2 linked regions of the Lepisosteus oculatus genome follow. The protein of the gene in region 2 binds, or shares a complex with, the protein of the main gene of each other region. Links are inferred from orthologs where the notes say so. Each region holds a gene or a part of one and is shown on either strand. Other genes may lie near its edges.

Region 1 (3,755 bases), on a different chromosome or scaffold from region 2:
AGTTTGAGAATAACAATAAGAAAGCAGCACGTTTACACAAACAACAAGCGTTTCATGCTGATATGACTAGCCAAACCAGTCCGATTTCCACTGTAAAAGCAATCTGACAAGTTTAAAGTTTTACAAACTACGTAAAGCAAACAACACACCTACAATGCATTACATTGTGTGAATCTGCAAAGACTAATTTTAAAATAATGGCAACCTACACAACAGTCTGCAATTTTAAAAATGTGAGATGGATCAGCTATGCAATAGCACTCTGTACTATTTGTCAAACAGGGAATCAAATCAGAGGTTAGGGATCGTTTCGCTAATTTTTTCTTCAATTAGACTTCATCATTGCCAAGTACTGCAATTGTATAAGTTAATATGAGCAGATCAATTGCCCCTTAAAAATCACATACTGAAAAACCGAAATGAGAAAGGACAATAACAGTATCCTATTATAACCTTTTTCTCTCATGGGAATGAGATGTCCAGCCTTGATCCTGGAGGGCCCCAATCCTACAGTTTTTACTAGTAAGCACTAGTAACAAAGTTTAAATGTGATCCGGGTTGTCCAATTCTGGTCCTGGATGTCTGTTTTTCTTTTATAGGTTAAGTTTTTATAGCAGCAGCTCACAAACTGTGAGAACTTGTTAAATTAGTCCAACTAAGCCAATAATGACTGGTTTCAGGTTGTTAAATGCCCAGCTGGATTGCGGACACATCACAGCTCGAGGACTGGCCGGGACCACTAGAATAACCAATTAAGAAAGTTTAAAATTACTTAGAAAGTCACATAATTTGGAACTAAAATCTGTGTATTTAAATACTCTTCAGCCCTCAAGGGCTGTACAAATTTTAATTTCTCTGAAAAATCTTCTTGGCGAGGCAGTCTCACAGGCTCATTGAGATCAATATTCGATCTGTGTTGTATTTTTAAATTTGCTTCAGACAATTAAAAAAAGTAAAATTTGTAACTAGTATACAGTGTTGTACCAGTTCCTAAATTTCATATGTACCTTCATTTAGATAGTTGACAAAAATGTAATCTATCAGACACTGTGGAGGACGACACGCATTATGGGAGTTCATTGTTACTCTCACTTGTCAAATAATATTGCATCTTATTTTTAGCCATTTTCAAGCTATGCAAAATCATAAAGAGGTCTATGCAGGTACATGTTACCCTTAACTAATTTGGTAGTATACGTTTGGCACAAAAAAAGTTTAAATAAACCCCTCCCATCACCTCTATTTGCAATTTAGGTTGAAGCTTGTTAACTGTTCAGGCTTTATTTTAACCTGTCTTCTTTCTGATTTTTACAATATCCTCTCCTCCTTTAATCTGCATCCAAAGAAAAATTTCATCACACCCGAAGAAGGCTCCACAGCCGAAACATTGTGTTTCTTTTCTTCTCTTTTCAGCATGGAATAAACCTTTACTTGGTCCTTTAATCTAGTTCAATTTGTTGATGATCTGACTCATACCAAAGGACTTCTTAATCTAGTTATTGCAAACAATGTAAATGTCAATGAATTAGTCATTTCACTCAAAACCCTATCAGATCACTTTTTATACATTTTAACATCCCAACTGTATTATCAAAGCCACTGCCCAGATTGATTTGCTTTCTGTAATGGAAAAAAAAGTGCTCCTGCTTCTGTCACTGATGCCCTAACTAGATCTGATTTACATTACAACCAAGATTGTCTAAGCAGTAAAAACAGGGTTAATTATTTCAACAATTCAGACTCGATAGCACCTATTCTGTCACTGTTAAGGACTCTAAATACTCCACCTTCTCTTACTTTCAAAGATCTTGGAAAAACTTGTAGCCATTCAATTACAATCTCATTTGTCCTTCCTTAAAATACATTTAGTGTCAGTCTTGTTTTAGATTAGCCAACAGTACAGAGAAAGCCTTGTACAAAGTTCTAAACTACCTTCAATTAAACTCTGGCTCTAGTTCTCTATTGGTCCTATTAGATCTGACAGCTGCATTCAGTTAGACTGCCTTGTAGCCTGTAGATGTGTAACTGGAACAGCTTTGAATTGGTTTTAATCTTATTTGTCAAACCAGGAACAATATGTTGCCATTGAAGACCAAAACTGACATATTCTCTTCCTCTATCCTAAGACCTTTTCTGTTTTTAATCTTCTTACTCCCATTAGGCAGTCTAACTGGAAAGAAAATGGCACTTTCATTTTTATGATGGCCACATTTACCTTTACATCTCTATTCCATTCATTCCCTCATGTGACGTCTCACTTATGACAAACTGTGAGTGAAACCGAGGCCCAGCTGAGCTAAAATTTCCTCCTTATGACAAACACTGAGGTAATGTGCACAATTCCCATGGCATATACATCCCATTTACTAAATTCCCTACACCTTGGAAACCATAGCCTCACTTTATGACCTACTTTGAGAAATCTGGGGATAGAGGGTCTTCTTTGATCCTGACCTCTGTTGTGATGCACTTTTTTGTAAGCCATCTATAAAGTCACTTCAGAAAATCAATCTTTTCTTGACACTGCTGCAGAAAGTCTGATTCATGCATTTGTCACATCAGCTGGATTACTGCAATACTTCATACAGTGGTCTCCCCACCCACTCCCTTAACAGACTTCAAACTATCCAAAAACGAGCCATTCCGTCTAATGCATTTAAGGCTCCCTGGCCACATCACCCCAATTTTGAAACGTCATCACAAGCTCTCTATTACCCAGTGAATTCAGCTCTTTTAAAGACCTACACACTAAATCCCTACAACGCGTAATACTCGTATTGCTCCCTGTGTATAAAGCAGGGCTTTACACTCCCTTAGACATTTTTAGCACTTCTTATCAGTTCAAGTGCCTTGGGTCGTGAGCTTTCACATCTTACGGTTTTTAAATCTAGACTAAAAAACTTACCTAAAGTTATGTTTAGTTTAATGTTTGCTTTTCCCACGTTTTTTATCTCTACCTTTATCGGGTTCAAGCGTTATTTTGATTTTAGTTTTACCCTGTAAAGTGTCCCAAATACTATTGGTGTACATGGGCACTGATAAATATTGAAATATATAACGGCAGTATTACAAACGCCTATGAAGTCAGTCATTTTTAATACAAAACACTTACAGGTATTCCTGTAAACAGTCGCGCAAAATGCAGTGTACTAAAACCTATAAGATAAAAACACTACCTCAGTGCCTTGCATTTTGTACAAACACATGGACACGTGCCCTTACAGTTTAAAAATAATTCAGAAGTCCGCCTACTACTGAACTTAGTAACTCAGTCAATTATGCTTTTGTGACAGCGCCACTTCTGCGGGTTTCACTTTCAATGCGATATTCTCTACGGAAGGCGCCAATTTTAAAAAGAGCCAGGGAAAAAAAGGCAAAAGTTAAATAGCTTAATTTAACTTAATGAGTAAGACAAGCATTCCTCTTTAAACGTTTAAATGCCCGATAATACAGGCATGGGCTTTCTTTATAATCGTTTAAAACATATAATCGACTCGTACCTCGACGGAAGGCTTCTTAACTAGCATAAATATCCGCGAAATCCGATTTGAAACACAAAAATATATTAACCTAAATGTGTTTTACAAAACTAAGGCGCGAAAAGTTGCCGTTGTTTGCCTGCAGAGAACCGAGCTTTGCATGCTCTCCAGCGCCAAGCTAACTGCGCACCGCTCACGCGCTCCCAAACCGAGCCAAGGTGAGACCTGCAAGAGCTAAGCTCGCGGAATAACAGCAATGACAAATAAAGTGTGCTT
Region 2 (3,755 bases):
TCTGAGTTTCTGAGGAATAATAAAAATCAGGTGAGGCCATCAGAGAAATAACCAAGGCAACAGAGCTGGATCTACCCGTTTCCCAAGTCTTAAAATCCAATAAAACGTCCTAATTTTCAGAAGCTGGCAGAAGGTTTACTAATTACTAAAACCCGTTCTGAGAACACGTAGCCATCTTCATCGCTTTCCACATTAAGACCGTCAGTATTTAATTAGACCTTTTCTTCAGTATTTAGTTGACATTTCTGTCCCAATACTTTAGAGTTTAATGTAATTTTTCCACAAACTTTCCAGACATCTCCATGGCTAGGAAGACCATCTACATCAGATCAGGAGACCATGGACAGGAGAGGACTCCATGGCAAGAATGTGGTACTTGGGAGCTCTAGGTATCCAGTCGGGAGTGTGGAAAGACTGTTTCCTGACCTTCTTCACTGTCTCCAGGTTGTTCTTTTCCTTAATATGGTCCAGTGTTGTCTGCAGTGGGATCTCCTCAAACACCTGCAGGACCTGCAATAAACACCATATGTTTATGTCTGGGTTACTATGAAAGAGTACAACACAATCATCACAGTGAACCCGGCTGTTGAAAAACACAAGTTGCATTTCAATGTAACTGTAATGCAAATGCATTTGAGTTCCATACAGCTCAGACACTCTCACAGCCTTCTGCTGCAGGACAAAAAAACATCTTCAGGGTGCAGAGAAAGAATTCAGGTGGCCGAGCATTCGGGCTGGAAATTCTCGAACTCTAAGTCATGTATAATTATCCTGTAACAAGCGTGATTATTTTCTAGTCTGTTTTACTTGTATTTGTAACGTAACCCATAGGATACCAGTGAAAATTAGGTCGAAGCATATTTAAAACAGAGAAAAAAGGAAACAGGTCTTTACTCTTAAGAGTTATGGAACAGGTTGCCCAGCCATGTGAAGGTGATCCTTTGGCATCCTTTAAGAAACAGCTGGATGGGATCCTTGGATCATACTCCTAGCAAATGGGGTAGAATAGCTTCCTCTCCTAAGTAATCATCCTTATGTTGTTCAGTGCTGGACAACTTCTTTAACTTGGCAGTAAGAAGCACTGCTCGTGTTACTTGTTTTTTACCTACTAACAGGTTCTAACACGATGTTTAAGCTGTGATTCTTCATTTCCTGACACACACTCAGAGACAGCTGTGGAGGACACTGACCTGGGCCAGAGCCAAGCTGAAGCCAGGCCGCGCAGTCTCTCTAGTGTGGGACAGCCCGTCCACCAGTCGCTTCAGGGTGTATTTCAGCTCATCCGGCTGGGAGGGAGAGCAAAAGAGGGAAGAGAAGATTAGCCCATCACACTCACACCCAGAGACCCTTTGTGGGGCACAGATCACCCAGATGTAAAAAACAAGTACCTAATTATTTCCGCATGGGAAGACCTACAGGGTCAAACTATAAAAAGGAAGAATAATGTGTTTTATTTGGTTGACACTTTTGTCCAAATGTAAAGAACTTGGCAATTTAATAGAGAAATCTGAGGGATGCACTATGCTAAATGGTACAACTGCTGTGTCCCACTAGGATCTGAACCACAAACACCTCCTCACCACTCCTCCACAATAGCAATGCTGCCTAAATAAAACACTACCACTGAAGTGTGCAGGAGTGGTCAGACCTCTAGACTTGTACCTGAATAATTGTGAGTTCACGCCCTGGGTGAGATAGTGCTCTTATACCATTAAGCAAAGTTCATTCAAGACCATTCCAAGCTGTATAAAACTGTACAAAGTTAATTTGACATCAAAGGCATCAAACTAAATCATTCCCCATCAGCTCTTTAACATTCCTGCAATGAAAATGCATAGCTAACCAACGTTACTCACTGGGTTAGGCGAGTCAATTATTTATTCATTGCAAATACAGTCCTCGACAAGCTTCTTAATAAAAGCTCGTTGTTTATCAAATAATAAGAATGCAAGAGGAATAAACAAAATTCCTAACCAAACACAGAAATAAAAACATGAATTGAAAAAAATATCGAAATGATAAAACTGCTGAAAACGTATGTTAAACCTTGCGTAACATTATTAAAAATGCACAAAAATAAAATGCACACAAAGCAAAGACATATCAAATGTCTCGCAGCATTGACAAGTAATCAAAAACAACAAAATAAAAATCACCTTTCTTTTAACAACTGAGATTCTGGGCAAACTTTTAAGAACACGCTGCTGATTCGCTTAGCATAACTACTACATTTTAAGGTCCTTATAGCAGGTCCTAAAAAGACGTTTTATCAAGAGCCAAAGGAAGCCCATGAGTGTCACCAAAACCCACGTGGTTAAACCAAGTCTGGAAAGTCTTGTGTATGCACAAAACTCCTGAAAAGTCTCGTTGAACATTTTGTTTTAAAATTAATTTGTATTTGCCCCCTAAATATATCCCTAATTCTATCAAAAACCCAGGAAACCTATTATAGCAATGTACGTAAATAATCATTACAGTCCTACCTTCTCGCTGTTTTTCAGATAGCAGATCAGATCTTCGATGGCTTTTAATCGTATTTCTTGCTCCGGTTTCACGATATCCCAAAAAAAATCAAGGAACTCTCGATTCTGCTGGAGGATTCCTTTGGCATCAGTCACTTTGGGCCGCACCGGCTCGGTTTCTATCTCCCCCATGCTAGCAACCGCTGCTGCCATGTAAATATCAATATCGGCAGCACTTCAGCAGAAAACGTGTTACAGCAACGATCGCATTGTAGCAGGAACCCACGTGTTCCGGTCAATCGGAAGATCGCTCAGCGTGCAGCAGGCTGGAAGGTTCGTGTTAAATTAATCCACAGAATAAGGGTTCCAGAATTTTAAGGTTTGGTACCTCGTACATTGTTTTTCCATTCATGAAAGATATAACATTTGCTTTTTATCAGTCACTGAGATTTTGGTATAGTTAGTGCAAAAGTGAAGTTCACATTTTCTACCGTGGAAAGGATCTTTTAAGTATGATATATGGGTATGATATATGTGAGTTGCCTTTCTAGAGAGCTGCTTATAATAGCTTTGGAATGTTACAGTTCCCAATGCCTAATTCTGTGGAGAATATAGGGTTCGTCATTAGGTTTGATTATTTTTATGTTTTAAATAATCCAGAGTCTTTACACTAGTGCTCACTCTACTTTCCCCACTATTTAGTTAATGAATTTAAATTTTTACAAGGCTAATTATGTTAAGAAAGCATTCGAGAAAGCTGACTTGCCATTCTGATCTGCTATTTTCAAAATATTTTACTACACTACACTCCCCACAGTACCATCCGTACACCCCTAGGTAAACCACAGCAATTCCAACGCAGGGAAACAAACTAATACTGCACAATGGGGAAAAAAAAAGACTGGGCAAACATTCACAGGTGGCATTTAATGTAGACAAGTGTAGGCAGCAAAACAAAAACTGTTAATATATAATAATAGGAAATACTGGGCTTCTCACAGTGGCTGATGACAGTGGTGGGCTTCTGGAACACCCTTCCTTGGTGGAAAAAGAAAGCTGAGCTCGATGGCTTTCTCTTATCTGTTGCCTTTCTGATGCTCTTATCTAAAATAATATTCCATGAACAAAAACACCTAGATGTAGCTTCATAATGAATTATCAGAGTTGTCTGGTTGACGTTAAATGCAACCAATGCCGATTTCTCTCTCCAAAATGCTTTTACAATACACAATTAATGGTTCAGCTCCGCAGAATTTCAAGTCCCTCACATTAATGGCTCAATCTCTTACTCTG

The links. Proteins that work in one complex are often made in the same cells at the same time.
Region 1: mybbp1a (region 2) and dek share a complex: the UniProt entries of both Homo sapiens proteins name them as parts of the B-WICH complex. The link is inferred for Lepisosteus oculatus from reciprocal best matches to the Homo sapiens genes MYBBP1A and DEK.

The regions. Positions count from the first base shown.
Region 1 is NC_090705.1:27,704,322-27,708,076, forward strand, and holds the start of dek (protein DEK), read right to left. Parts: upstream 2,501-3,755; 5' UTR 2,486-2,500; coding exon 2,414-2,485; intron 1-2,413. UniProt on the Homo sapiens protein: Involved in chromatin organization.
Region 2 is NC_090721.1:11,357,515-11,361,269, forward strand, and holds the start of mybbp1a (myb-binding protein 1A-like protein), read right to left. Parts: upstream 2,761-3,755; 5' UTR 2,676-2,760; coding exon 2,484-2,675; intron 1,287-2,483; coding exon 1,191-1,286; intron 511-1,190; coding exon 427-510; intron 10-426; coding exon 1-9. UniProt on the Homo sapiens protein: May activate or repress transcription via interactions with sequence specific DNA-binding proteins. Repression may be mediated at least in part by histone deacetylase activity (HDAC activity).